3 linked regions of the Mytilus edulis genome follow. The protein of the gene in region 2 binds, or shares a complex with, the protein of the main gene of each other region. Links are inferred from orthologs where the notes say so. Each region holds a gene or a part of one and is shown on either strand. Other genes may lie near its edges. The genes, in order: glucose-induced degradation protein 8 homolog, armadillo repeat-containing protein 8-like and glucose-induced degradation protein 4 homolog.

Region 1 (7,767 bases), on a different chromosome or scaffold from region 2:
ATTCTCCAAACCTCTTCACAAGCAAATCAGACACCTTTTATATACATTCTTAATTTTTTAACCATTTCTAATTTTACTGGACTAATAAATTCTACTAAAATTTCTGTTATTTTGATAGGTTTCAAACAAGAAGTTTTAAATCACTTAAAGTCATCAAAGAACCAGGTGCTTCGCAGGGCGCAGCTTTATACGACCGCAGAGGTCGAACCCTGAACAGTTCGGGCAAGTATGGACACAACATTCAAGCTTGATACAGCTCTGAATTTGGATTGTGATCAAATTCTTGACATAATATGAGTTTCTGACACAAAACAAATGTCAAGATCTTACAAATCTTTTATGCAATATTGTGCAATTACAGATTTCTTCTTCAAACTTTTCAAAAATTTTTGCAAGAAGTCCAAAACCTGACATTTCTTTGTACATTATTTACAAGTAGTGTTTTGTAGCCCCTAATTCCAAAACATTTTGAACCATAACCCCCAAAGTCATTACTACCCACCCCTTAATGGTATGGAAACTTGTGGTATAATTCCAGAGAGATTCATACACTTAACAACAAGTTATTGTTTGAAAACTACAAAAATGCTTATTTTTGGCCCCTAATTGTTCAACTATTGGGACCATAACCCCCAAAATCTATCCCAACCTTCCTTTAGTGTTAGTGGTATTGAACCTTCTTGAAAAAAATTTATAGAGATCCATTCACTAAATCTAAAGTAATTGTCTGGAAAACCTAGTTTTTCCCCTTTTTTGCCCCTAATTTCCCTTTTTTAGACCCTTATTCCAAATCATTTTGAGCCATAACCCCCCAAATTCATTACTTACCATCCCTTCATGGTATGGAAACTTGTTTAATTTCAGAGAGATTCATACACTTAAACACAAGTTATTGTTTGAAAACTACAAAAATGCTTATTTTGGGCCCCCTTTTTGGCCCCTTCTTCCTAAACTATTGGGACCATATCCCCCAAATTAATCCCAACCTTCCTTTAGTGGTATTTAAACTTCTGGTAAAAATTTACTAAAACTAAAGTTATTGTCAGGAAACTTAATGTGTCTTCAGACAACGCAGATGACGACATGATACCATTATAAGATGCAAAAGTTTTTTTTTGCAGTTGTAAAAAAAGAGAAAGATTTAAATTCCAATAACAAACTACTCATCATAATCAGCAGTCCACAGTCTGAGGGAGCAGGTGTGGGGGGGGGGGAAGAAGATTTAAAATCCAATCATGAGCTCCATAACAATCTTGCTTTCAAATGTTGAGAAAAAAAAATACTTAAAAAAACCTACATTGTATATCGTTTTTATTTTTGTTAAGAAAATGCATTTGTAAAGCTTAGAAACCAGGAAGAAATTCATTGATATTCTTTCCTGTTCTTTTTTTATCTGACAAATATTAAGTAGATTTTTTTTTAATTGAACAAATCTGTATAATGTTTTATTTTGGATACATATAGTTAAAAACAGGTGCAGTGCAGTAAATAAAATGCCATTGCAGCCAACACAAAATGGACACTATTACTCCAACCATCAGCATTACAGATCAATATCAATTTTAGCCACTGCAAGTCAATTGCCTATCAAACATCTTATGCATGTCTATACAATCTAAATTTAAATTCTTATAATGTATTGCATAAAAATGCATCATACAATAATATGTCTTTCTTTAAATCTCTGTTCTGTTCAACTAAGTTAAAACATTTCCAGACTTGATGACTCAATGAATACATACATGTATTGGCACTCACACCACATCATCCTATATCTATATACATTTTACATACTGTTTGGAAGTCATGGAAGTTAATTCAACTAATCAGCATCAAGAAGAAACATTTTTCATAATCAGTACATACAAACTTATTGACTATTGGGAAAGTAAATTAAAATTGTGTCTGAGGACAGAACTGCCCTTGCTCAAAATTTTTCAAGTTAAAAAGGGGCATAACTGAAGAACAGAAAATGACTCACTGCCCAAATTCAAATTCGGTCTGCACATTGTGGTTTTTAGTATTGTGTGTGTTTCATAAAATTGGGATAAGGCAACCTTAAGTTAGTGCAGAAACAAAAAAGTTTGCAATTATCCAAGTTATAAAGGGGCATAACTCTAGAATAGTAAGTGATTCTCTGCCCAAATTTTAACTCTGTCTGCAAGTTGCATTCGAATTCTTAGCATTGTGTACATGTACTACATGTAGTATGATAAAATTTGGATGAGGCTAACTTTAAGATAAAGTGTGGAGACATGCAGAAAGTAAAATGGAAAGACAGACAAACAAAATCAGTAAAGTAGGACATGATTTGAATAAAAGATCACCCTCTTTTTATATGTCTCGCTTTTTGTAAGTTTAATAGTATATTGCAAATGTTGGAATAACAATGTCAATATTTTAAAAACATGTAAACTATATATATGCAAAACATTCAAAGTGAATCAATGACTGAAGAAGCAGGACCAAATTATAACGTCCATGGAAATGAAAAATGCCATAGCTTATAAAACTGCATACCAAATACCAATAACGAATCACAAGTGGTTCCCTTAATTATTGTAACCTAAAAACAAACTTTTTTCTTAAACAGTAAACTATGCAAAAGTTTAAAGTCAATGAACCATGATGATAAGGCTGGCCCATATACAATCTCCATGGGAAATTGTGAATGAGACTTGATAATGCTTATGAAACTGCATGTACATGTACCACTGACTTAATATTCATTTTTTACGAATGTACCTCAGGTAATTAATAAATTGAAAGTTTCTATGATTTCCTGCCATTTGATACAAAAATGTACATGTAAACAAATGATCAAACTGGGTCATGATCATTCATTGAATATTACATGTACCTTGTTCAACCACCCAAGACAATGTCAATAATGCAATCAACTGTCAATATACATCCCTTGTGGCAGTACTAGTGTTCACACCATTTAACACTAATTATATTTCTTAATTGCCACTGACATGATAATTGGATTAGAAATATCCAGAATTTAACTTCAATCTATTGAATTTTCAAGTGTGGCAGACAATAAAATAAGTGTGGCAGACAATAAATTAAATGTGGCGCTAGGAATTCAGTCTGCACGGTTAGCCACTAGTCCGATGCCCCAGACTAGTAAAATTTCATTTGGACTAGTGAGTTTTTTGCAAAATTTAGTTTGGACCTACATGTATAAGAAAAATGTCAGAATATTGGTCTTCGGACAAGTAATTGAAAAAGTTTAGAATACATGTACTATTGTAGTATTAAGATCTTGGAACCAATACAAAAATTTATATATTTGTTCTACATGTAGTTTAAGTACATTGTATAACTAAAAAGAGGGTTGTATTGAATATGGGAGTACAGTACTAGTACATTCATGAAGAAAAAATTTTGATGAGTATATAACCAGATGCTCCGCAGGACGCAGCTTTATATGACCGCAGAGGTCGAACCCTGAACGGTTAGGGCAAGTGTGGACACAACATTCAAGCTGGATACAGCTCTGAATTTGGGTTGTGATTCATAAAGAGTTAACACAGCATAGGTTTCTGACACAGAATGAATGTGGTCTAATGAACTTAATTTTTATTTTTTGCTTTTGAGCAATTCACTATGCTGTTGAATATTAATCCTCTCTCCTCTTTAAAAGAACTCAGAAGAATTTACAAACGTGCTAATTTTTCATTTGATTTCCTATCAGTATAGTACATAGATAATAAACACACATGTACAAATGTAGTACATGATGCACTGGTCTATTCGAAATATCAAATCCTGTGGTCAGAATTAGGCCGTACCTGTTGTCAGTGTAGCGATAAGTGAACACAACAGGGGTCCAGTTTACAGGGGGTCTCATTTGGGGGTTCTGATCCCGGATCCCGCTTACTGTTTTGTCAGATTCCCATATCCCGCTTACACTATGTACCTAAGCAATTCTTATTTTTTTGTAATTTCCCGTGTCCCGCTAGACTTCATTTCCAGTTTTCATGGCACAATAATTTGACTTTCACGTGTCACAATTAAAAAACATTTGTCAATCCCTTGTCACGCTTAGACCCCAATGAGACCCACTTTACAGTTTTAGCTACATAATGTAGAGTCGGTAGAGACTTGACGAATCAAGAATAGCATATTTTGACAAATCAAGGTAAATTTTGACGAATATGGTAAATTTCAACCAAATTTTACGCTAAAAAAAAGCTGCAAGTGACTATTTGACGACTGACGGCAAAGGGCATTCCTACCCACTGAAACGGTTCAGCAACAATAACCTAGGGAGTTCAACTAACTGATTGAGGATGACTACCTCTTATAAATGTGTTACACAGTGTGTTGACAAAGGAAAATAAATACTTGTCTGCATTTGTATAATGACACATTAATTTCAATATACATGTATCATCTTGTGATATGCAATTAAAACTAGTTGCAGCTGCAGAGCAGGTGCTTGATCAATAAAACTGATTTTCATTTTATGCTTGTTTCTAATTTCTCTCTATTTTCTTAATTTCTGTCTTGAAATTTTTACCTTTCTGCCATTTTGGCTTAAATCTAAATATAATTAACTTGTCTCCATCACTGTAAATTTCCAGGTCAACATCACATTTGACAGTTCAATCAGAATTTATGTACAAATATGCGCCATCTTGTTTTTTCCGAGGCGTTGTCACGGAGCACTGCGAAGAATAACGAAGTTAAAATCCTTGTTTTCTTAAGTATTCATGTCCTAAATATTGCAATCAAGCTCTCTTATACGTGGATTATATACAGACATGAGGGTTTGTCCTGATTGTCACGACAAAAACCGGTTCAACAGACCAATATTTGTTTATTTCCGCTTCTGAAGTAAACTTCCGGTTTCTTCAAAACAATGAGCATGAACTGGTGACTTCTTTATACTTTGATTTGTTTTCTTTCCCTTTGTAAATTTAATTTAACAGTTCTTGTTTTTCCAAAGAACACACATAAACATTCATAATACTCTTTATGTCCAATCAGCTCTACTGATAAATTTAACACATGAATTTATGTCAAAGGCATGCACCAAAGAAAAACAACTTTATTTTTTTTTTTCTCAGAAAAGATTATTTGAATAAACAGTGGGTTGTATATCTTCTATGCATAATGTCTTATGCCGCATTTACCCATTGGAAACCAGAAGATGAGAGTGGCTCAATACAAAACATGCTTTCAAGACCTCTCAGGGTGACTGGGGAAACGAAATATGGTCACTTGGTCTTCTCCCGACCTGCAGTAAAACGCTTGCCAAATTGGAGTATCCGTTTGGCTGTGCAGCATTAATCAAGTTTGCTGCCACTGTAGTATCCAGATTAACCCATGATGTGAGTTCCCGGGTTAATCTGGATACTACAGCCACGTCGGGTCAGAATTGGGATGTTAAATCCAATGTCTGGCGTAGAGAGAGTGCCACGCTCTATGCACCTTCAGAACCTTTACAACAAATCTTTGAAGGGTCCGTAGGTTGCCTGTTGCAAAGTAAAATTTCTGTCCCTATCCAATTTACCCTCATTTTCCAGTGACAGTCCAAATTTCCACTACCATCAACCCTGATGGCCTCTACCATTACAAAACCTACCTAAATTGTATTTAGTGTGAACTTGTTCTTGTCCTGAAGTTCAACATGCATGAAATATTTCCCACTGGACTTTAAGCAACCAACAAACAATCAAGACGTCGCAGCAACACAACCAGTTTGGCCACAGTACCATTTTGGTTATATTAATTTCAGGCACAGTCATTTCAGATTTGGTCATTACTTTTCATGTTGTTCTGAACATCATGAGCATGAAATATATATTAATTATTTTTAATATTACTTGACAAAAAGAGGGTGCAACACTTTCTTTACGTCAACATCATAAAGTTATTATCAAATAATCTTCAATGGTACCAACACCAATTTTGAAATTAATTTGAATCAGCATTTTGAGAACCACTTTATATTAATATCTACTAGCAGCAGCTTGTATTATAACAATTTGTTATAAGAATATACATTCACCAACTGTACATTGTATGAGCCTGAACCCAGGTTGGAAACTGGTGTTTCTTAGTTATTAAAACCATAATTGAAAATTTGAATATATATCAAAGATATACATGTAATATTGAACAAAATGATCTGAGGAATCATTATTATTATGATGGTATCTAGTAGTTTTGTACCATATTCATTTCGTACCATTGCCATTTCGTCATGTTTGTACCCAAAATTACCATTTTGTACCATGAATTCTACATTTTGCACCGTGAACATGAAATATTTTGTAGTTATTATTTTTTTTTTACCATTTCGTACTACATAAATGATTTGTACTAGATATGGAAAAATTATTTACATTTCATCTCCAAACAAGAATTTTTCTGTACACAAAAGGAAATTTAACTTACATGTACCTTCTGTACTGAAATATGAATATATCTAAAAATAACAAACGACAGTATGAAATTGTAATCATTATAATCTTCCATATGGTACAAATTGGTATACATTATAATCTTCCATATGGTATGAAATGGTTTACATCATAATCTCCCATATGGTTAAAAATGGTATACATAATATCCCATTTGGTACAAAATGGTATACATAATCTCCCATTTGGTACAAAATGGTATACTAATATAACCTCCAATATGGTACAAAAATGGTTATATAATTATAATATGAAATGGTTTTTGTTATGATACAAAATGGTTATGGTATGAAATGATTTCCAATAATTATTTTACAATTTTTAACATGCATGAACAATTTGTAGATAATTTCTAATGTGTCTTGTACATTTCTGTTCATTAATAATAGAAAATATGTTTTATTCATACAGGTATGTTACCCGCAAGATGAATTTCGGTGCGGCAGCAGAAAAACTGGAAGAAATTCCCAAAGATGAATGGTTAGAACGCCTCCAGGGAGTACAAGTAACGAGAGGAGACATGAATAAACTTATAATGAACTATTTAGTCACAGGTATCTTCTCAAAGTATTGCTAAGGAAACATTTTTTTGTATAAGGGACTTCTGTTAGTATGAGGAAATTTTACTAGTCATTTATTCATAAATGATTTAGATATATATGTACGCATACATGTACATGACATGAAGCAAATTTTTATTTTTGATTTGTTTTCTTGTGGTGAATTAAAACATTTTTTATGCGACACAATCGACAACACAAAAAAAGCCAAGACACAAACAAGCTTATATTAACATATGGTTTTCTACACAAAACAAATGTTTGCCCAATTTGTTAAGAATGAATTGGCAGAAAGTCTGAAAAAAGTTGTAAATAAATTAAATAAGACAGACTCAGTAAAAGATTTTCTGTTGCCACCAAACTATCTATAAAAAGGACAAAAATCATTAGGAAAGAATTGGAGGCAAAAACTGACTAAAGTTCGTAACTAGTGACAGACGCAGGAAATTATGACAGTGATTGAATTTTTTAAATGATTTGATCTCCATCTTTCCCATTTATTTAGATAAGTAATGTAATAAAATGCAAATATATTAAATGGTGTTAAATTAAAATCAGTTGTAAAAAGCACATATATCTTGTCAATAGAAGACACTAACATGAACATATAAACAATGAAATAATTTGATATCAAGAATACTTGCAGTGAATTGATAGTTTGATTGGTGTATAATGCCACTTTCAGTACGAATGTGCTATTTTATGTTTGCCATTTTTTATTGACGAAGGAAGCTGGAGTGCCCAAAGCTGATGAACATTTCAATAAT
Region 2 (8,073 bases):
TTCAACTACATCAAAAACTACCTCAACTAAAAACTTAAACCTGAAGCTGGAAGACAGACGTGCGACAGACAAACAAACGAATGGATAAACGACTAAAAAACATAATGCCCATAAATGGGGCATGAAAAAAATAAAAAATAAAATATTTTCAAATTTTATTAAATTTACATTTTTGGAACTTTCATTTGTTTTATAATGCCAGGGGTTGTCTCTAATTTGTTGAATCATTTGTAAGAGTTGTTCCTCCTAGCATTCAAAATTATGGGGACACTGCATGTATTATGATAGGAAAGTGATTTATATTTGAGATTTCTTAGTGACTCAACCATAGAATAATTTCAAGTAAACCTGAACTTTATGTTGAAAGTCTTGATAAGATAAGGTTTTGAAAATATGACTTACCTAGGTATAATTCCCTGTTGGACAGCTAAATAAGGTTTTGAAAATATGACTTACCTAGGTATAATTCCCTGTTGGACAGCTAAATTCTTGTGTTTATTGTTGCCAATCACAGAGTTCTTTACATGTCTGTTGAAAAAAGGCAAAAAAATATAATGAAAACATAATAATTCTTGCAGTTGTTTCTGATTGAAAAAAAATCTGTTTGTCCCCTCCACAATTAAAATATCTTTTTGACATACACCAGGTACAATTATAAAAAAATTCGTAAGGGTTCCACGGAACCCAGTGTCTCGCCTACTTTTGCTGTTAATCGCAGACTCAACAAAAATTAGGAAAAACATCAATAAAAATTTCCCTCTCGATACTGTCTTTTGATTGAAAGAAGCTTCAAAGTTTGGTAAAAAAATCCAGGATAGTTTATGAATCTAATAAATGTTTTATAAACTTTAACTGCAGACTGTATGTAATGTTAACTTGAAGAAAAACTAAGTCCATTTATAAGTAAAATACGGAAAAAGTTAATTTTTTTTTACAAAATTTACTTCTGAACAATATCTTATGATCAGAAACAAGCTTTTGTCTAAGTTTGGTAGAAATCCAGGATAGTTTAAGAACATTATAAAAATTTTAAAAACTTAAACCACAGAGTGAATGTTTTGTTTCTAACAAAAAAACTAAGTCCATTTACAGAAAAATGGACTTAGTTTTGTTAAACATTGTTAAATAGCCTTTCAACGATTTTTGTCGAAAGGCTATTTAACAATGTTTCACATACTGACATAATAATAAATTCCTTTTTTGTGACATATCATGATCAGTTTAGTTTTAACTATATTCTGTTCATCCACAATGGGACATAAAGCTACCACAATAAAACATATTTTGTGATCAATATCAATGTATAAATTACCTCAGCTTCAAAACATTTGCATCAAAGGTGTTTATATTCTAATTGGGAATGTCATAAATGTGGGTAAGTGGTAAATAAACACACAGCTACATGTATCACATTATACTCACACAATTGATTCCATCCATTTATCTTGTTCGTCTGCCAGAATGATATTCACACATTCCCATCCAGAATCTACTTCCTACAACAAATTCAATTTATTTATTTGGACAGTGTTTGTAGTTCTAGTTTGCTTACACCAGTTTGTTTAAGGCTAAGTTATCCTGCAGTGATTGTAATTACGGTATTAAAACATTCTAAAAAATATTAAATTGCACCATCTAAAAAGCTTGATTTTGTGATGAATCAATCTTGTAAGAAATTCAGGTTATCAGAAGTTACTAATTAGAACATGATTTATTGCCTTTTATCTTATTGAAGGCACTTTTGTATTTTTTTTTTCAAAACATGATTTTTTGTTGTTGTAATTTATATCCCATATGAAAGCTACAGTTTGTACATGGATGTACATTAATGGATTATGATTCTGTGCAGTAATTTCATTTGTCATGATTCATATATATTATAAAATTATGTGACATTGGGTACACACTGAAGAAATCATCAAACATGTCAAATGATTTTATCTTTGAATCCAGTATTTAATTTTCTAGAGATATATAAAGCAATGATACGAACAAACATATGTCCCTCCAGCGGCAAAGGGGTAAATAAGTATAGAGTATAACATGCCTTTTTCCATATTGGCCTCAAAGCTTTAGCCGAGGGCCGATATAGGTCGAGGGATGATACCAGGGCCAATATGGAAAAGGCATGTTATAATCTATTTAAAAATTCTGCAGAAAAGAGAAAAAAAAATTCAATTATAACAATTTAACGAAACATAATAGGTAAAATCTTACAAATTTTATCATAAAAGTGTCGTTAAGAATGCAATGACGTCACATTATTTAGAACCAGGGCACAATAACCAATAACCTCTTTTTTGCCCCAGGTTATTTTGAGGTTATTACATATATGCAAAACCCAACGTATTCGTAACAAATATGTGATAATGATGTATACATAGACTTCAAAACAACGATGTCAAAATTAATACATGTTGTAAGCTGACATTAAATGACAGGCCTACCAGAAATAACAACAAAGAGGCATTTAGAATTCCCTCATGCAAAACAAGTGTATAGAAGGGGTCTTTTCTCTGGTCATTTTATACTAAAAAGATCAGTGGACCACCTTATGTGCCTTAACCTTCTTTCATGGCTTTACATGCTGACATTAAATTAATAAATATGTTAAATCTAAATGATATATTTTTACTTGCAACATCATGAACATGTACATGTACAGGTGCAAATATGATTTTTTCTCATTTTTGTTTAAATATTAATTCGTTTGCTCACTCCAAACTTGTAGCAGAATAGTCAACCAGTTGCACTTATACCAGAAGAACAGATGTGCATTTGGCTACACCACCGTTGACTGTAATCAATTATATTTTATGTATAATTATAAATAAATACTGGTTTTTTTTTCAACAGAAAACAATATTTTTATAGTGCACTCATTTGATTTCTGAAAGATCAGCGAAGAATATGTTGGTTTTTAATCGTTTCTTCAGTTATATAGATAAAAATAAAGGTCATGATAGAAGTATACCATAGCTGTTTGAATCATTCTGTTATGTTTTCAGCAAAATCAAAACAGTTTAGCTATGATCGGCTGAACTCGATTTATTGTGACCGGCGAAATCCTTCGTAAGTTATATGGTAGTTTCGCCCCTAATTTTAATATACCATTAATTTCTGTAGTATATGCGAAAATTCACCTTTTACATTCTGTTACATAAAAATAAATCAAACGAGACGACACACTTTTTTTTAAGTTATTGTAGATGAAATTCAAAGAGGCAAAGTTTTTCTTACTTCATATGCAATTCTAATATGACGTGCTTCTTTCGCTTTCTAAACAACACCGTGATAAAATTCTCCATATATCTATACTTAGCGCAGACTCAGAGATATACATAATAATGGCTGTTACAATATATTTCCCACGTAAATCCACATGTATTGGAACCTATTTGTAAACCATTTGCCGATTATTTTTTTTTTAAATTGCAGTTAAAAAAGACAAAATAACTTATTCTAATTCGGATGCATAATAAAAAGAAATAATGCACAAGAGCTCGGAGAAATCAACAAAATAAAAATAAAATAAAATTCCGCGAAAGTCTTTTAATGTTTTTGACGCATTTAAGTCATTTCAAAACATGACGTCATACAAATGAAAACGCTACAGTTGAACGTTTTCTGAAAAGTGAACCATCGAAATTCGTATAATATTGTATTAAAATTGATTTGTAAGGTAGGTTTTGTTTTATTTTCTATTCTATTGCATTTTTCGCATATTTACTGATTTCAGCAAGTCAACATGGCGGCTCCTTAGTTACAAAATGTCAACTTTGGATTTGACGGTAGCTTACGAGAAAAACATGTAAATTAAAAATGGCAAATGTTGGGTTTGTGAATTTAAAGAATTAAACAGATTTTTTTTCTAGCGGTAATTCACTAAACAATCAATGCAAGCTACAGATTTTATGAATATTTGAGCTTTATCGAACCGGGAGTAAAAAAAGAACAGCCACACACACAGCATACCTACCATCGCTACAGTTTTTTAATGACCGTATTTGTCCTATTAGAATCGAAATAATTCATGGAAGCCATAGATTGTTGGAAATTTACACATGGCCTGGGCCGTGATATTCGTTAATTTTATCCCTCGCTAACGCTCAGGATAAAATTCGAATATCACGGCCCAGGCCATGTGTAAATTTCCAACAATCTATGGCTTCCATGAATTATTTCTTAATTAAGGATTTAACGGTTATGTCACACAGTACCAGTCGTAATATGCCTATATTTTACAATGTAAACACTTGGTATTACCAGAGATATATAAAACAATATACTACATGTCTTTAGTGTGACATTTCAATTCTAAGTTAAGTTATTAGCCATTTCAAATAATTCAGTGGAATCATTCTTATCTGTATTAATAAGAAAAATCTGGTTATGACAGAAAACTTAATTATTTTGCATGTATAAAATCATACACTTTGCTGCAAAACTGTCTTAGTATTTGCTTTAAAATCGCTTTTTTTTCAAAGCACAGTTCAGAACACCATCTGACTGTAACATATTGTCATCTGCAGTATAATAATTAACTACCGCCTTGATGTTGCCTGTCTCAATACATCCAACGATTTGTATAATGATAACAAGTCCTTGATAAATACGATATCACAAACTAGTTAAAACATTTACTTAATTTTATCATCGGTACCAGTAAGGACATCAATAGTAAATATAGCTCAACATGTAGACTTCTTATACGTTCAGGTATTTCACATCCAATATTTTATGGAAATATTCTTTTATAAAGCACAAAAATGTCAGTATTCACCTCAGAAGATAACAAAACCTTTAAATAGACTTATTAAGAAGGGGTATAGTTACGATACTGTTCTCAGGTCATTAAAGATTGCATATTTTGGCGTTGATATTGATTCACTTATGCTGAGACTACTATAACAACTGTGAACTATATAAATGTTCCGGACCATATGAATATTTGGACCATACGCGTATGGTCATGACCATATGGGTATATACTCATATGGTGTGACCATACGCGTATGGTCGCGGTATATTTATGCTTACCTCTTTATATAACCCTTCTAGTTGTCACGTCACTAAAAAGACACTACTAAAGGTATTTTTTTCATTAAAAATTAGTAATAACAAGATTAACAAAATAAAATGAGCAGTTTCACACAGCAAATTTCATCACTAAACTATAGTAAACACACATTTTTTTTTCATTACCGATATGCTATTACGAGTGAATGACAAAATGTCGACACTAGTTCATTTTTTAAAGTTGTCTGGTGATATGATGTACTTCAGTCATGTTGCGATATTGAAGATCTAGTAGAGCTTTTTCACCGTAGACACATCGGAATGACCCCGGACCCAAGAAAAGCTATGGTGCCGTGTGGACGTAAATGTCACCCTACGCATCCATGCAAGAATACAATTAGTGATGAAAACTAACTTTGGCATCAATATTTAATGTTATTTGAATTGTAAATAATACAATTGCATGTAGCAATCATTGTTATTTTATAAAGTTTTCTCGTGCATATTATTGAAAAATATACCTATATTGTCCTAATACTCATATGGTCCGGCCCGTTTATAACAAAACGAGTATATACTCATATGGTCCGACCATACGCGTACGGTCGGACCATATGAGTATACGCATATGGTCATGACCATACGCGTATGGTCCAAATACTCATATGGTCCGGAATATAAACACATTTATTATTTTAAACCAGTTGTTGGCATGACACGGGTTATGTTCTTCTCATATATGTTATGAATTGATAATTCTTGTGTACAATTTGGAGTTTAGTATGGTGTTCATTATCACTGAACCAGTATATATTTGTTTAGGGGCCAGCTGAAGGACGCCTCCGGGTGCGAGAATTTCTCGTTGCATTGCAGACCTGTTGGTGACCTTCTGCTGTTGTCAGCTATATGGTCGGGCTGTTGTCTCTTTGGCACATTCCCCATTTCCATTCTCAATTTTATATTTTATTCTTTCTTAGTTACGTAACCCTTATAGGGGCATAAACTGACAATTCATGTTCATCGATTTGAGTGACTCAAATTCTTATATTTGATCACAGGCACTCGTCTCAGAATTTGTTTTCCCTACCGTATATTCCTTTATATAACACAATTAAGTACTTAACTTCCGATTTAGAAAATTGCCGGACGGTGACGAAATTCTGTTATATACCGATTTCTCGGCTGTTCCGTTTTAATGGGTTTACACTAGTAATTTTTGGGGCCCTTTATAGCTTGCTGTTCGGTGTGAGCCCAGGCTCCGTGTTGAAGACCTTACATTGACCTATAATTAATGGTTTACTTTTATAAAGTATGTCTTGGATGGAGAGTTGTCACTCAAATCTTCCTATATCTATCAAACCCATGTAATAATAATTCAATTGCAAGCGAACCATTTATCAGCGATGTTTCTTTACTTATTATAACAAAATTGAACTGTTATCAATGATTGAATAAAAAAATCGTTTATTTTTTTCATATCTTGTACAGGTATTTTTTTCCACCAATCAATATACATTGCGCCCAAAATTTGAGCTACACAATCAAAAAAAGTAAAAACACAAAAATACTGAACTCCGAGGAAAATTCAAAAAGGAAAATCAAAAATCAAAAGGCAAAATCAAAAGTCCAAACACATCAAACGAATGGATAACAACTGTCATATTCCTGACTTGGTACAGGCATTTTCTAATGTAGAAAATGGTGGATTGAACCTGGTTTTATAGCTAGCTAAACCTCTCACTTGTATGACAGTCGCATCAAATTCCATTACATTGTCAACGATGCATGACTGACAAAATAAAGCCCAGTAAATGATTATTAGAATGATTAGAGTGATTAAAGTACATTTAAACAAAAATGTCGGCACATGTATACGATGCTAGATTGAGAACTGGTCAGCCAGAATATTTCAGTTGATACAAATGTATTTACAAAGATTAGTTGGAAACTGATTGAGTCTTAATATACGGAAGTGATTATATAGTTTGAATTTATTATAGTGCAATTTTTATATGGATAAAACACATACACCATTTTGATAAAATTTGGGAAATTTTCTTTTTGGGGGATGTTATATGTATCTTTATTGTATGGTCGTAGCTATGGAAATAGATGTGGTTTTTTATGCTCTTAAGCAAATATAACTTTAGCGGCACGGGGAGGCAAGTATATTTTCCCCCATGTACGTAATACTAATTTAAACAAAGTAATATGTTGGATAATCAACATTGTCATTGACACATCGATCATTCAGTAATTTTGGAAGAAACTGTGACTTGGAGAAAAAAGTAAAATCACAAAAAAAATGAACTTCAAGGAAAATTCAAAAAGGAAAGTCCCCAATCAAATGGTAAAATCAAAAGTTCAAACACATCAAACGAATTGAAAACAACTGTCATATTCCTGACTTGGTACAGGCATTTTCTTATGTAGAAAATGGGGGATTGAACCTGGTTTTATAGCTAGCTAAACTATAAATTATAATTCTTAATATATCATACATGTCCCAGCGAACCGAAACGTGTGTATACTGTATACGCTTAATGTGTCCCCTTACCCCAGTTCCCTAGACTTATGCTTATGGTAGACAACTCCTGGTCGAGTTTTTTTTATTTTTCAAACTACAAAAAAATGATATTTTCTAGAAGTTTTTTTTTTTTTTAAATTGCATATAAAAGTTTAGCGACTCAATTGAGGTTTCAATAAGGCCTTACGTAAAGCTTAATTAAGCAGCATTCATATAATAGATTCCTCTAAATAAATAATGTATTGTTACTGCCGGTTTCTAAAAGTTATTGTGTGAGTTGCTTAGGATCAAGTTTTCTTTTTTAGCACAATATAGGAATTTAGAAAAAAAAGTCAGAAAAAACTACTAAAAGCACTGACTTGCAATATTGATGGAAAAGGCCGTATGTCAGTTTTACTAGGGGGATTAAATGAAAATTGTGAAATATTATGAGGGATCAAGAAATTTTATATGTTTGAATTCAAAATGACCAGCCCCCCTCCCAGGTTAAAAATGATAAGTCCCTTTAGAAATTGATTTAATTGTTT
Region 3 (7,246 bases), on a different chromosome or scaffold from region 2:
ATGTTATGATGGTATGATACTAAACCCCTAATGGGAAGGATTGTGCTTGATATACATATGATGAAATCATAATCTTCCAATCAGTTTAATTGTAGTCTGGAGCTGGCATGTCAGTTAACTGCTAGTAGTCTGTTGTTATTTATGTATTATTGTCATTTTGTTTATTTTCTTTGGTTACATCTTCTGACATCAGACTCGGACTTCTCTTGAACTGAATTTTAATGTGTGTACTGTTATGCGTTTACTTTTCTACATTGGCTAGAGGTATAGGGGGAGGGTTGAGATCTCATTAACATGTTTAACCCTGCCACATTTTTGCGCCTGTCCCAAGACAGGAGCCTCTTGCCTTTGTTAGTCTTGTATTATTTTTAATTATAGTTGCTTGTGTACAATTTGGAGTTTAGTATGGTGTTCATTATCACTAAACTAGTATATTTTTGTTTAGGGGCCAGCTGAAGGAAGCCTCCGGGTGCGGGAATTTCTCGCTACATTGAGGACCTTTTGGTGACCTTCTGTTGTTGTCTTTTCGATGGTTGGGTTGATGTCTCTTTGACACATTCCCCATTTCCATTCTCAATTTAATTGTTTTATAAACTCAACATAATGTTAAGAAGCTTACCTTCCATCTCATAAATACAAAATCTGTGTTGTTTAATTCTTCATAATCAAAAGAATCAGAGTTAAAATTCTTGGCAAATGGATAAAAAGATAAAAACTTCCCCTGAAAGTATTAAAAATATTACATGATTATGATATGAGAAGAATAAAAATATGTTAAGAAATAGTAGATGCTGGAATGATATTATCATTTGTTTCAAATAATTACTGATAGAAAGGAAGTTTGAAAATGTTTTTAAAAATTACGAAAAATATTGGATTTTTCAATTCATTTATTTAAATAAAAAAATATAAAAGATAACAAGGGCAAACAATTGTGAACAGCATATGCATATTGCACATTGATGCATGCAAAGCTTTTTGTTCATTAAAAGTCATTATATTAATTAATTTATTACCCAATGTTTTCTGTCTACTTCTTCATCAGCCTCCCATTTCCTGGTAAGAAATGGATGTTTCTTACTGATTATCTCCCCTTCAAAGAATGTTGTCAATGTTGGGTATTCCTCTGTTAGGCCGTTTATCTTCAAATAACCACAGAGATAAGAATTGTCCATATCAACATACTGAAAAGAAAAAATAATGTTAAATATAAGGCTACATTAATAGGATTAAATTTATGTTGTATTTTTGGTTAATTTATGTTGTATTTTAATTAGGTTAAATTTGTGTTGTATTTTTGGTTAAATTTATGTAGTATTTTTGGTTACTCTCTATTTAAAAGCTTTTCCAATGCCTAAAACTTATCAAGTTGTATTTTCTTTTTTTAAAGCTCAGGCAAATTAACTTAAGTGTTAATGGTCCTGGTGCCTGCAGTTCTGGCATTAAAATTGATTTCGTAATTTATATCACATTTTTCCCCAATTTTTGTTTTTGTGAATCTTTTGGCAAATGTGGCTGTGTATGAACCTAATTTTTTTTAGTACAGACAATCTGAAAAGCTGGGGAAAATTATGGCATGGACTCTAGATAACCATGGTTTAAATACATTTTATGTTTAAGAAAATCAAAAATTTGATTTTAAAGTGATTTTTTGAAGTCCAGACTCCTATAGAAGATGCCATGAAATAAAATAAATTTGGATGTTTTTCAGATTTGGAAATCGCTATACATATAAAAGTTCAATTTTGCATATTAAGAATTATCTCCCTTTAAAAAATTTGAATGAAATTTTAATTTCTCACATATCATAATTTGGTAGAGAAATTCCATACTAACTTTGCAGACATGGCAAATGAAATAATTAAATACTTTTGTGTAAACATTTGCCCTAAGATAAGTTTTAAAAATTATTTCAAAAATTATATAGAAGTACTTCTTAGAACTTTATGTTGGCAAACTTTTTGTTTTCAATTCCAAATCAAAATTTTCAAAAGAAGAACATTTGTACAGCCTATTGTGCATGCCCCATAATATATTTAAGCTCAAACTTTGACTTACAATGTACAAAACCTAATACTTGTCTATATAAACCTTTGGTGAGCCTTTATGTGGTTTGCAAATGAAATGAATTCTAGCTTAAAAAAATAGAATGTGTTATATTTGTATCAACTAAATCAGGCTTTAAAAGTCATTTCCCTTTGGAAATGCACTTCCAGACAACAGCTGGGAAGCACACATTTCATAATAAAAATTGCCATGGGAGATAACTCTGCAATTTAAGTTTCTGTTGTATTATTGAGTTTATATGTGATAGCCAGATCAAGCAATAAATAATGCATCTCATATGAACAGAACCTGATTATGATAATAAGCTAAAGTTTTAAAAATATTGATATTTGTTTTTTTTTAACTGTAGTAGGCACAACGGCCAGAATGGTATAATTTATTTGGTGCAAAAATTTTCTGAAAAAGAACTAGTGAGAGCCCTAGTCCTAACAATTATGACGTCTTGTCTTAACTTTAACTTTGATGTGATGAATGCCAGAATGGCTTTTTAAAAGTATTTTATTTTTTTACTATGACATGCATATGTCTTGAAAGGCTACATACATGTATTTAAATTTCTTGCTGGACCTCTTCAATTCAGCTCCCTGTTGATGGCTGTACCTTGACCTTAAAAGGTAAACTTTTTACTTATTCTGACTAGGATGGAGAATTGTCTCATTGGCACTCATACCACATCTTATAAGTTCTTAAATATCTAGAAACTGAGAATGGATTTACAGTAGAAATCATTTACTATTATTTTCAATACCTGTAAAATAACTTCTACATCATAGCAATTGCCTTTGCTTTTTTGGTGTCCCTGAAACCTTGATCCATTGTACAATAGACTGGTGGTTATTCCAGGGAGGTTGCTATTCGCAGGAGGTGGTGGGTCAAGCTTTACCGGCATTGTTTTGGCATTCCTGTAAATTGTCAAAATGGACATTTCTTTTGACACCGGTGATTGGTCGGATTATTGTTTCCGGATTTTTTCAACCAATCACAGAAAGTTTAACATATTCGTTTAAAAAATGGCTGCGCCCATGAGAATTTATCATTCAGCTGTCAAAAGTTTCTTAAATGTATCAAATTCACATTGCACTTGTTCTGTGAGAAGATTCAACCCAAGAGGCATGTACATTTCAATGTCAAACAACACTAACCATATGAAATCACAATCCAAATAACAAAATTAGCTTCCCCCTTTTTAGAAAATCAATGTTAAAAACTGATATTGTTAGTACTATCTGTTTTCTTTTTATGCATTATAATTACATTTGTTCTAAGAGGCTTAGGGCATCAGTAGTTTGAATTACGTTACATTGAGAACATGTTTATTTACGTACGGTTAGCATTCCAATGGGAACCAAATGAGCTCCTGAGCCTCCTCTTTGTTTCAAATCAATCTCTGGCCCATACCAAACCAGGTTGATATGGCCAATTTCTACAAGTAAAATAGGGTTAACAAGCTTTAAGAAAAAAATCCTTTGTAAATGTTTAAATGAAGGTCATCGGAAATTTTGACATTTAATTTATTCATATGTTATTAATACTAAGTTACAATGTACTAAGAAAACATTTTAAGGCTCGGTGGCAGTCTTATTGTATCACTAGCCTGTCAATTGTGTGAGTTAAAATCTGGAATGTGGCAGGTGAACTTGACTTCAATCTAAATTAACTAGGATTGTCAGCTTTCTAATCCAAGGTCATGGTTTTTTCTTTAGGCACTCTGGCTACCTCTACCAATAAAGACCGACCCCCATGAAGTAAAACGTTAGTGCTGAAAGTTGTGTTAAACACCAAACAATCAATGAATCCACTATAGACCACTTTGAAATGACAAAATGGATGAAGTCTAGGCAAAACCTGTATGCATCAGCAAATTATGAAAATTTGTATTGTTTAATTGACCAGTTATCATGGTTATCTTTCATTGTTTTTGTAAAGCCTGTGACTTTTGTCACATGGTTCATTGGTCAAAGTTAAGTTTTTAAGTTTTGGTCTTTTTCTTATACTATATGCAATAGCTATAAGTCAACTATATTTGGTGCATAGAAATATTTTATGTTGTATATGTCAGTCTCGCTGGTTTTATTTTACCTTGACCTCATTTTCACGGTTCATTGCTAAGTGTTAAGTTTTGTGTTTTGGTCTTTTTTTGTTAAACTATAAGCAATAGGTCAGGTATATTTGTTGTATGGAAGAATTGTGAGCTGTACATGTCTGCCTGGCATGGTTCATCTAACCTTGACCTCATTTTCATGGTTTATTATATAAATAATACATAGCCATGATAGCTGAAAGGGTGATAGAGCAGATTGTTACCCCATGAAAACATTGTCAACCATGGCGAAGCATGTGATAGAGAAAATTAACACCCAATCAAAATATGGCATTTTAACGTGAAGTACAAATGTATAATAATAGTCAATGTTTAGTTTACATGGTAAAGTCTGTTTCTTAGAAACTGTAAGCAATAGGTCAACTATATTTAGTGTATTCAATGATTGTAGTAAAGCTTTATATTTAGGACTAGCAACATAGTATCAATGATTAGTAAAGAACTTTAAGAAGGCGAGACATTTCAGCATGTGCACTCTTGTTAATAAAGAGATGCAAGTAAAAAATGTAATGTTTGCATGAGATTAAGGTTTTTGAAAAATCCAATGAAACATAAATTGTTATGATGACTATACAGCGGGGTGAGCCATAGGATAGACTACATGTAGTAAGATAAATGACATGGAATTTGCTGATTATCCTTGTTTTATAATACATGTAATAGTATTTACAAACAAAAATCATGACCAACAGGTGTTCAGGTCATCAATGTGACAGGAAAATTGTATTTAAAATACTTTCTTTTTTTTATACTTTTTTTCTCCAAAATTTTTATAGTAATAAAATATCATATTAAAAATAAAATATTTTGGCTTTGATGTGATATGTATATTTTATTTATAGTCTAGCTGTTAGAGTAATTAATTTCTATGCACAGTAGCAAGTTATCTTGGATTGAGAAAAAAATGTGCATTGATGGATGTTTCATTTCAAAGATTTGCCACAGTCTGTATTCATGTCACTAGAAAATTTACACTTCGTTAAAAACTTTAGCCTTCAACATCCACAAAAATGTGTATGTACCATAGGTACAGTATGTGCAGCATTAACAACAGTTTTCTTTTTTTCTTTTTAGAGTTAAAGAAATTTTACAAGAATGCAACTATAACTCAGACAAATGGTATGAATAATAATTGAAAGTGGAAATAGTTTTGCGTTATTGTTCAAAAACAATTTGAATAAATAGATGTTTCCATTACAGTGATTACCTACTGTAATATAAAAATGTCTTGTAAGGGTAAAATTAAAATGTCAAAATCTTATACATAAATAAAAATAAGAAGATGTGGTATGATTATTAATAAGACACTTCTCCACCAGAGATCAAAATTAAATGACATAAAAGTTTACAACAATAGGTCACAGTATGGCATTCAGCAATGAGCAAAACCTATATACAGTCAGTAATTAAAGGCCCTGAAATGACAAATGTAAAACTATTCAAACGAGAAAACTAACAGCCTGATTTATGTACAAAACAATGAATGAAAAACAAATATGATATACAGCATCAAAAGATAACCACTACATTACAAGATCTTGACTTTGGACAGGGTGAATATGTAAGTATTTTCAATATATATATATGAAGGCTTCATATATATTGAAAATACTTACATATTCACAAGATCAGATGCATCAACACTTTAAATGTTTGTGATCATTATGTATTACAGTGATAATTATTTGACATATAATTTTTGAATTTCTAAAGCAACTCAGAAATACTTAGCAGATATATGACTGTAGACAAATTGTTGTTGACTATTTACTGGATTTAAATGTTAATGCTCTACATCATTTATCAATCGAAGTCTGTTTATTTTGAACTTAACAGCTAAATGAGTTTGCCAAACCTAAATAACACAACTTAGCAAATGGGAAATAATGATTTTGTGATTTTTTTGTAAAAACTATTACTCCCTACATGGTCATTTCACTGTACTAAATGTATTAAGTTTTGCCTTCATACTAATGATAATTTTTGGTTGCTTGTTTTCTAGGCTGGTTTGAAATAAATTTAGACCAGAAAAAATTGAAGACACCAAATGGAAAGGTTTTCAAAGTTCCAAATGAGGCACTGGCTTTAGCTGTAGCTACAGAATGGAATATGCAACACAAAATAGTCAAGAGACATTATATGCATTTAGTAAGAGCACATACATAAGTATTGAAGCCATAGATAATTTTTTCACAATTAACATGTAAATACTGACTGTTGTTAAAGTTTGTTACATACAAAAATGTATCAATTTTGTTGTCAATCCTTTATAGAATTTATTAGACTTTAGCAATTTTTTTTTATGATTAAGAGATAATGTCCCAAGCAAAATTGTGATAATATATTTGTACAAATTTTTCAGTGTTGATCACTATTTTTTTATGGATGTGATATAAAAACAGTGGAGTAACTCCAGATTATCTGATTTTTTTTCAATTTTAGATAAGGCTCACTTTAGATTGGGCAGTATATTTCAATACTGAGCCACATTTGAAACTTTGTTCTGTTTATTTCAGACATCACTGTGCAATACAGCATTGGATAACCCTACATATAAATCAAGAGAAGATTTAGTACGGAGTACATTACATTATGCAGAGACAGACACGCTATGGTATGTTATATGTTTAATTATAAAGACCATTATGAAAATCTCTAGAATAAATCTCAATGTAATTCTCTAAATACATGTATATAAATAAAAAAATGTTTGTCTTGGATATGTAAGTGTACCTACTGTCTGTACTGAATGAGTTGTTGCATACTTTCGGGTAATCTGTATGGATTTTTTAATTGATAGTTAATCCTGTTAGATATGTTAAATTTTCGAAATCCAGTCATGACTGATTCTTAAAGGCTCATGACTGAAATTATTTTTGGATTAAGTTGAGAGATCTAGCATAATTAAAGGCCATTTGTAAGAAATTGCATTATTTTGTTACTGTTAACTAAGTCCGTATTGCAATTCTCTTCCTGTAAGAAAAACTGCCACTTGTCTTGGTATTGTATCCACAGGGCCCTACAAGTTTCTGTTACATACCCCTGAAATATCAGGTTAATGCATGGTTATTATGTTAC

What was found.
Region 1: the proteins of armadillo repeat-containing protein 8-like (region 2) and glucose-induced degradation protein 8 homolog are in contact, whole or in part, in a cryo-EM structure (PDB 7NSC), measured with the Homo sapiens proteins. The link is inferred for Mytilus edulis from reciprocal best matches to the Homo sapiens genes ARMC8 and GID8. Residues at the interface, in NP_001350870.1 of Homo sapiens: Asn45, Val47, Ile48, Gly49, Asn50, Val85, Ser89, Met92, Arg127, Arg130, Arg161, Tyr162, Tyr166, Leu200, Ser201, Tyr202; in NP_060366.1 of Homo sapiens: Ile83, Ala84, Asn87, His90, Pro91, Glu92, Leu94, Asp95, Thr96, Tyr101, Tyr183, Glu184, Asn185.
Region 3: the proteins of armadillo repeat-containing protein 8-like (region 2) and glucose-induced degradation protein 4 homolog are in contact, whole or in part, in a cryo-EM structure (PDB 7NSC), measured with the Homo sapiens proteins. The link is inferred for Mytilus edulis from reciprocal best matches to the Homo sapiens genes ARMC8 and GID4. Residues at the interface, in NP_001350870.1 of Homo sapiens: Glu309, Pro310, Asp311, Val312, Asn371, Glu373, Arg406, His409, Arg413, Ser414, Val415, Gln416, Arg419, Thr420, Gln423, Asp424, Val444, Ser448, Cys451, Asn452, Leu455, Phe457, Ala483, Val486, Asn487, Trp490, Met493, Asn494, Phe497, Gln498; in NP_076957.3 of Homo sapiens: Leu104, Ile105, Pro106, Pro107, Pro108, Pro109, Ile110, Gln114, Pro115, Gly116, Val117, Ala118, Thr119, Gly125, Gln146, His147, Tyr154, Cys156, Tyr158, Phe174, Glu176, Phe239, Val241, Pro242, His244, His292, Ser293, Ala294, Pro295, Ile296.

Annotation. Positions count from the first base shown.
Region 1 is NC_092350.1:18,419,718-18,427,484, forward strand, and holds the start of glucose-induced degradation protein 8 homolog, read left to right. Parts: upstream 1-4,748; 5' UTR 4,749-4,873; coding exon 4,874-4,887; intron 4,888-6,851; coding exon 6,852-6,994; intron 6,995-7,767. UniProt on the Homo sapiens protein: Core component of the CTLH E3 ubiquitin-protein ligase complex that selectively accepts ubiquitin from UBE2H and mediates ubiquitination and subsequent proteasomal degradation of the transcription factor HBP1.
Region 2 is NC_092345.1:44,936,288-44,944,360, reverse strand, and holds the start of armadillo repeat-containing protein 8-like, read right to left. Parts: upstream 3,077-8,073; 5' UTR 2,993-3,076; coding exon 2,975-2,992; intron 1,497-2,974; coding exon 1,423-1,496; intron 529-1,422; coding exon 457-528; intron 428-456; exon of another isoform or gene 403-427; intron 1-402. UniProt on the Homo sapiens protein: Component of the CTLH E3 ubiquitin-protein ligase complex that selectively accepts ubiquitin from UBE2H and mediates ubiquitination and subsequent proteasomal degradation of the transcription factor HBP1.
Region 3 is NC_092352.1:28,227,024-28,234,269, forward strand, and holds the start of glucose-induced degradation protein 4 homolog, read right to left. Parts: upstream 3,020-7,246; 5' UTR 2,993-3,019; coding exon 2,816-2,992; intron 1,185-2,815; coding exon 1,017-1,184; intron 722-1,016; coding exon 620-721; intron 1-619. Other genes in the region: ATP synthase mitochondrial F1 complex assembly factor 2-like, read left to right, coding at 3,078-3,177, 5,243-5,287, 6,171-6,316, 6,685-6,782.